Arabidopsis thaliana: one gene and its partner. The protein of the gene in region 1 purifies or fractionates together with the protein of each later gene. This does not show direct contact. Each region holds a gene or a part of one and is shown on either strand. Other genes may lie near its edges. The genes, in order: RPT6A and RPN1A.

The links.
Region 2: the proteins of RPT6A (region 1) and RPN1A purify together in Arabidopsis thaliana (affinity purification with mass spectrometry; 2 studies listed by BioGRID, with this or other methods). This does not show direct contact.

Annotation. Positions count from the first base shown.
Region 1 is NC_003076.8:6,750,064-6,753,986, reverse strand, and holds the start of RPT6A (regulatory particle triple-A ATPase 6A), read right to left. Parts: upstream 2,190-3,923; 5' UTR 2,027-2,189; exon of another isoform or gene 1,884-2,026; 5' UTR 1,844-1,883; coding exon 1,642-1,843; exon of another isoform or gene 1,244-1,641; coding exon of another isoform or gene 1,216-1,243; intron 1,134-1,215; coding exon 1,036-1,133; intron 959-1,035; coding exon 734-958; intron 619-733; coding exon 556-618; intron 472-555; coding exon 308-471; intron 1-307. Other genes in the region: GONST4 (golgi nucleotide sugar transporter 4), read left to right, coding at 3,055-3,923. UniProt on the Arabidopsis thaliana protein: The 26S proteasome is involved in the ATP-dependent degradation of ubiquitinated proteins. The regulatory (or ATPase) complex confers ATP dependency and substrate specificity to the 26S complex.
Region 2 is NC_003071.7:8,857,390-8,861,312, forward strand, and holds the start of RPN1A (26S proteasome regulatory subunit S2 1A), read left to right. Parts: upstream 1-1,572; 5' UTR 1,573-1,821; coding exon 1,822-1,938; intron 1,939-2,258; coding exon 2,259-2,359; intron 2,360-2,498; coding exon 2,499-2,619; intron 2,620-2,697; coding exon 2,698-2,757; intron 2,758-2,856; coding exon 2,857-2,967; intron 2,968-3,170; coding exon 3,171-3,236; intron 3,237-3,318; coding exon 3,319-3,440; intron 3,441-3,583; coding exon 3,584-3,698; intron 3,699-3,852; coding exon 3,853-3,923. Other genes in the region: GPRI1 (GBF's pro-rich region-interacting factor 1), read left to right, coding at 1-133. UniProt on the Arabidopsis thaliana protein: Acts as a regulatory subunit of the 26 proteasome which is involved in the ATP-dependent degradation of ubiquitinated proteins. Required during embryogenesis. Required for optimal plant growth and stress responses. Required for innate immunity.

The DNA of each region.
Region 1 (3,923 bases):
AAGAGTATTTTCAACGAATCATCTCACCTATTTGTAATTTGCTCCTTACATGAGACTTGGCACTGTGGCCTAAATGCTAAGCACTATGACAAAGAATACTTTATAGAACGATATTCATTCACAACGGAACCATATTCATTGTAGCAACAAAGAACACTTTCCCCATTTAACTTAACAGCTCATGTCCATTTTATAGCAACTAATGGCGGACATGTTAAAAGATGTTATCTTATCAACAGTTCCATATTTTCCTATCAACCACTATTACCATGCTTGAAATTTAAAATAGGGACTACCATATACTAACCTTGCCATCACAAAAAGTTCTCTGACCATTCTAGAACCTTCTCCAATGTATTTCTGGACAAGCTCGGAACCAGAAACTCTTATGAAAGTACAGTCAGTGTGATGTGCAACAGCCCGAGCCAATAGTGTCTTCCCAGTTCCAGGTGGACCGTATAACAACACACCCTAGAAAGACAGAGAGATGAGATTACGTCTAATCCACTTAGCATCATCACAATATGGAGAAGAAGGTTTAAGATTCAAGTGTACCTTTGGCTGCGCAATTCCAAGAGACTCAAACAATTCAGGATGCTTGATTGGCAGCTCAATGACCTGATAAACCAGAAAAGATATAGATATTATATAAACATTAAAAGGATGAAACAACAGAGGAGATAGCCAATACTGTAGTGACTTTTAGTTTCGGTTTCTCATTCACTAAGCATACCTCCTTTATTTCCTTAATCTGCTGGTCAAGACCACCAATCATGTCATAGGTGGAGTCTGGAACCTTCTCAACTTTCATAAGGTTAACCAAGGGATCTACTTTACTTGGCAGAACCAGGTGGAGAACATAGCTATCATTACGAAGAGCAACTCTCGTTGATGGAGTGATTTTCGTAATGTCTATACTTTTGTCAATATCAACAACATACTTCCCCTCTGGATGAACCTGGAAAATGGGAGTGTAAGCCTTACTGACAACTATGTTCGTAGAAATACAAACATGATAATAAAAAAGATTCATACCTTAACCAAGACCTTGTTCTTTCCCATAACTTTTACCACTTCTCCCACATAGGACCCAGGTTCTTGAAGGAGCTGTAACTCTTCTCTGAGCATTCTCACTGTTCAATTAGAAATAATTTTAGTGTTAACGAGGTTTGAGATTTAGAACTAACTACAAATTATAAAGACTAGTAAGAAAACCTTCATGCATAAATAGGATGGTGATCATGATGACAACAGAAGCTGTTCTATAACTTTAAATGTGTAACTAAAATCATGGTATAGTGGAAAGGACTATATGGGCTCCTTCCAAAAGTATATATTCCTCAATGAAGATAGTGAAGAAATAACTAGGCTTTCCTGAAAAAAGCCACATACTTTGCAAAAGAACCAACAAGAAGACAGAATCTAGAAATCTAAACAAGTTAATGTTGCTAAAATCAAGACTAATCACTTCCAGATCGGAAACACTAAATCACCACAACAATTTTGAAATTTGAAATCACTCAGCTCCAATTGGAACGAAATCGAAAGCCCTAGCACAGAATCTGAGATTACGAAACACAAGGAGATGATAAAAAAGATCCAATTTTGCAGAGAATTAGGGTAAGAGAAGGAAGAAGAGACCTCGAGAATTGAGTTCATTCCTTTGAGCTTCAAGGCGATTGAGGTTATTAGTCTTCTGTCGAAGCTGGCGCTGGAGCTCATGGATGTGCTGGAGATAGTACTGCTTAAGCCCTTCCCCTTGTTTCGCCGCCGCTCCTTTCACGTTACAGGTTTCCTCCATCGCTGTCTCAGGACGCCTCGAATCTACTCCTACGGCCGCCATTTTCTCAGTGATTGAAACAAATTATCGAAGACAGAGATCTCTAGTAAGGAGATGAGAAGAAAAAGGAGAGAGATTAGTTTTCGTCGATCAGAATCTCAGAAACCCTCACGCGAAGCATTATATGATATCACCTAAATTAATAAAAAGGAAATTAACTCAACAATAGAAATATTTTTATTTTACTTTTTGCTTGTCTTAACCTTCTAGTTCGTTTAGAGTCCTTCCTCGAGTCTACGTTTTCTCAGGCTTACTCTAGCTGGTGGCTAATAAGCCGTTGGAACCATCTTAGAGATAAAACGTTCTGCTTGTTAGTAATTTAAGTTTCACCTTATCGAGTAAGAAGAGAGTTGTCGAGGGAGATAGTTGAAACTTTGAAACATTCGGATTAATAACTTCTTCTTTTTCGTTTAAATCTTACTTTAATACACATCATAAACATGTTTTATTACTAGATCAAAGATTTGAATAACATTTTAGTGTAGTTGATGCATGATGTCTCAACAACATGTTTCAACATCAACGACTTTGATTGGTGAATAAAAACAAAGTATTACAATTTGTATAGCTTTTTTTTATACAAAACACAAAAAGATTATCAAAAGTGTTACAAAAAGTTTTACTCTCACTTTTATTGTAAGGTTTTCTCGTACCGTTCTTTTTTACAGCTTTATAATATTCCGAAAAAACGTACACCTAAATTTTTTATACGACTTATTGTAAACAATCAGATCCGTTAATCTAAAATTTTGTACAGCTTTGTGTTGTACAGCCAGATGACAACAATTTTAGATTTATTATGTTTATTTAAGCGTTGGTTCAGCACATATCGTTAATCTAAAAGAGAGTGAATCTCAACAATGACTACATGCAATCTCAATTATTTGCTTAATTAGTGCATTGACTAGTTTATGTCCAAAATACACAATAATTTCTCTACAAACAAACAAAAATTCTCTACATACACACAGACAAAATCAATATGTTTAATATTCTTCCATTAATGGTGAGTTGACCAAAATTAACACCACAATTAAACTCAAAGTGACTAAAAAGATTACTAACAAAATTGTCCCGTACGATAAGACACTGACGAGAGAAGTCGTCGCCTTCCTCTAATTAGTCTCTGAATAATCCGATCCAGATCCCAAATCCTCTCTTCTTCATCTTCACCGATCTGGATCTCCCAAAAACCTCCACCAAAAACCAAAACAATGTCGTCCTCTCGATTCGATTCAAACAAACAATTAACAACAAGCAGTCTCGTAATCGGCTACGCACTCTGCTCAAGCCTCCTCGCCGTAATCAACAAATTAGCAATCACATACTTCAACTACCCAGGTCTCCTCACAGCTCTTCAATACCTAACCTGCACCGTCGCCGTCTATCTTCTCGGCAAATCAGGGTTAATCAATCACGATCCATTCACATGGGACACTGCTAAGAAATTTCTCCCTGCAGCTATCGTCTTCTACCTCGCTATCTTCACAAACACAAACCTCCTCCGTCACGCTAATGTCGATACTTTCATCGTCTTCCGATCTCTAACACCGCTCTTAGTCGCGATCGCTGATACTGTGTTTCGTAGTCAGCCTTTACCTTCGAGACTTACGTTTTTGTCTCTCGTCGTTATCCTCGCTGGAGCTGTTGGGTATGTTGCAACTGACTCGTCTTTTACTCTAACGGCTTATTCATGGGCTTTGGCTTATCTTGTTACCATTACTACTGAAATGGTTTACATTAAGCATATGGTCTCTAATATTAAATTGAACATTTGGGGATTGGTTCTCTACAATAATCTACTGTCTCTGATGATAGCACCGGTGTTCTGGTTTCTTACTGGAGAATTCACCGAGGTTTTCGCGGCGTTGAGTGAGAATAGAGGGAATTTGTTTGAGCCTTATGCGTTTTCTTCTGTGGCTGCGTCGTGTGTGTTTGGTTTCCTTATCAGTTACTTTGGATTTGCTGCTAGGAATGCTATCTCTGCTACTGCTTTTACAGTCACTGGTGTTGTTAACAAGTTCTTGACTGTTGTCATCAATGTTTTGATTTGGGATAAGCATGCCACTCCTGTTGGTTTGGT
Region 2 (3,923 bases), on another chromosome or scaffold:
CATAGGAGATGTATTGACGAGGCCATGGCTGCCACTTCCGTTGGGATTAAATCCGCCGGCTGTTGACGGTGTTATGACAGAGCTTCACCGTCACGGTGTCTCTGAGGTTCCTCCGACCGCGTCTTGTGCCTGAAACGCACAAGATCCGTAGGCAAGCGAGAACCAAACAAAAATTCGACGACATGTCTTTCAATTATTGTACTTTTATTTTTCCAAGGGTTGTTTTTGTTTTGACCCTTGTTGTGTTAAGAGTTACTCTTTACTTAATCGTCCCATGTGACTAATAAGGAGACCCTTTTCATATGTATCTAGGGTGCTAAGTACACTCTAGCTCTATTAACGCAAATAAATTACCTATATTTTCTCTAACCATTGGTGATTTAGAACTTGATTGCTTATATAAAGTTTTTTTATAAAACATAACACAACAAATTTCCATATCAAATGATCATATGGAAATTGGAAGCGTTCAAAGCAAAGTCGCAAACGACGACCAATTGATTATAAAGAGGACAACCTCACGAGTATATATACACTTATAATTTATAAACATAACTTATACTTAAAAATACCAGCCGGTTATATATGGTGAAAAATGAGTAATGAAATTGTGTGTTTACCATGCATATATTACCGTATAAAAACGTATTGTTGGGATTGAGAGAACAATGGCATAAAATAATAATGAGGAGAGAGGGAGAGGACCACGAGATAAGAGGAGAAGGAAGTGCATGGAGGCAACGTAAAATCCAACGTAACGACCTCTTCTTTCTCCAATTGTGACCACTCTCTCTCTCTCTCTCTCGTCTCCTTCAAATTTGAATGGTCCCTCTCTCTTCATAATTGATAATTCATATACATGCGGATACTATTACTAGCATCTCATTTTCCACTCACACTTGTACACATATGCTTTTTATAAGTACGTATTTATAGGCAAAAGTAAATATATTCAAACCCTACATGCATGGTATTAAAATCCAATATAACCAAAATGAATACTCGGTTCAAATTCAAAAATTTAAAGGACTTTGGTCGAAGATAATGAAGACAAATCATTTTTTTTTGTTCTAACCGGACATTCCAAATCGAAATGCACACTAGTTTTTGGTGCCTACATCTACATTGGCTAACTTTTACTAAAATCATAGTGAAAATAACAAAAAACCATGGTCTCTATAAACTCTTTGGTGAAGATTTCAACTACTAAATTACCATGAGATAGATGGTCAAAAATTGTCAATATTGAATTTACAAGGATCATGAGATATTTCAACAATTTTACTAATGACCAGATCCAATGCAGTGAATTAGACGAAACTATGACTTCACTAGGTTGTGAAAGAAAAGCTTGTCTTGCAGTTTTGTCTGCGACCGGTCGAAAAGAGAATGAAAATATGTCGAAATCCTCTTCAAACGTGAAATAAATTAACTGTCATAAGGATAAATTATGTTTGTTCAACCATACAGAAATATGATGAATAAATAATTTTAGACATGTGGGCCCATGTAAGAAGAACTCACTAAATGAGCCCAATACGGTTAATGGGCTGTGACATTGAAAAAGAGGTTGTAATGGGCTGATTGATTCTATAGTGTAGAAATCTTGATCGAGGGGTTATCTTCTCCGATTCCAATATTTAGATTCTTCTTCATATATTATTGTGCTTTGATTAGAGAGTTGCAGAAGAGTTTTTTTTGTTTTAATTCCTGCAATCAGAGAGTTTTCGATAGCACAAGCACAAGCTTCTCGATTCGTTTGAGTGTTCAAATTTCAAGCTTTTTACAAGGGGTTCCTTAGATTGATCTGTTACTGTAGAGATGGCTCCAACTCAGGATCCCAACAGTGTCGGAGGCGGTGCGAAGAAAGATGAAGCTACCTTGAAGGTTCCGTCTAAGGATCCCAAGAAGAAGGACGAGAAAAAGGATGAGGATTTGGTAAAGTTTCTTCTTTCTCGGTTTTTTGATTTATCGAATCCTTTTTCGACATTGTGTGTCGTGTTTAGTATCTGGGTTCATCAGAAACGAATTAATTTCAAATCTGTAAGATCTGCAGTTAGGTTTTTAATTGGAGTCTCGATCGAGTTGAAGTAGGGGTGTTATAGAATTAGGGTTTTTAATCTGGCAAAGTGAGTGTTTTGTTCGTCATTAGACTAGCCGGATTAGAAAGTTGTTAACTTGTGATGTGAGGAAAGTTTTTTTTGTTTGTATATGGTCACTTTCTTAATGACTCGACTTACATTGGGTTGTGATTGTAGTCTGAAGAGGACTTGGAACTAAAGCAGAACCTTGAGCTCTATGTTGAGAGGGTTCAGGATCCTAATCCGGAATTGCAGAAGGCTGCCCTTGAGAGCATGAGGTAATTCTTGACTTGATCAGCTTCGGGTTTTCAGATTATTGCCACTGAAGCTTGTACAACTTATAAAGCTTTTTTTCTTTCTCTCTGCTCTTGGTGTACATGTTTATGTTTTTAATTAGAGTTTTATTTGGCTTTGTAGGCAGGAAATCCGAGCTTCAACAAGTTCCATGACTTCAGTTCCCAAACCACTAAAGTTTCTGCGTCCCCATTATGGAACTCTTAAAGCGTTTCATGAAACAATGGCTGATTCTGATCTCAAAGTATGTCATCATTGATTTCAAGTCATTAACAATTCTTATATTGGTATGGCTTAAAAATTACATTTGCTATGTTTGCAGAAGTACCTGTCCGATATCCTGTCTGTCCTGGCCCTTACCATGTCTGCAGATGGTGAAAGGGTATGCTTCTACTGACTTGGGCATACTTTGTATTCTGATTTGTATTTTTTAAGGCATACTTTGAACTGCTAATCACTTTCTTTTACAATATAATTCCAGGAAAGCTTAAGGTTTAGATTGATTGGAACAGAGGGTGACATTGGATCGTGGGGTCATGAATATGTCAGGAATTTAGCTGGAGAGATTGCACAAGAGTATACAAAGCGTCAGGTTAGAAATCAATTTTCGATTTTGTCTTTGGAAATTCAGTTTCTCGTCCTAGGACTTGTGCAGATATTCTAAGATTGTTGGAAGTTGTGTTTGGGTTTATCCTTCTGAATTCTGATGGTTGGAGTTTTGAGGAATGACTAAATGTGTCTTATTCAATGAGAAAGGTCACTGAGTCATATTTATCTACCTGTTCATTATCTCAGAGTGAGGAGGCCTCTATTGACGATTTAATGGAGCTTGTGCAACAAATTGTTGCTTTTCACATGAAGGTGAATTCCTAAACTAATAGGGCTTGAGATTAGCACCTCTGCGATTTATTTATTTCTAAACGATTTCATTTACTCCTTGCAGCATAATGCAGAAACCGAAGCTGTTGATCTTTTAATGGATGTTGAGGATCTTGATCTCTTACTTGAGCATGTAGACAAAACAAATTTCAAGAGGACATGCAACTATCTCACAAGTGCAGCTAGGTACTTTAAACATAGTCAATCCTATTTATTTTATTTTTCCTCACTCTTTGTTATTTGAACTGATCTTGTAGAAACAAGTGGTGAGCTTTGTTTATATTTGCTTCCAAAAATCTCTCTGACGTCTTATATATTTGAATTTTCAGGTACCTTCCTGGACCAGATGACATGTTGGTTCTAGATATTTCCTACATGATTTACATGAAGTTTGAAGAGTATCCAAACGCTCTGCAGATTGCACTATTTCTTGATAACACGCAGGTAGGACTTTAATCTTTCTATAGAACGTAGTTTCATTTCATTCTTTCTGCGTGTGAAGCATTTGGAAAAATCAATCCTCTATGTTTTATTTCGAGTATTTGCGTAGACATTTTTGATATTTAATGTGCTGTATGGTGTATTTTCTGTATTGCAGTATGTTAAACAAGTATTTACCTCATGTACGGATCTGCTGAAGAAGAAACAGTTCTGCTACATGATTGCTCG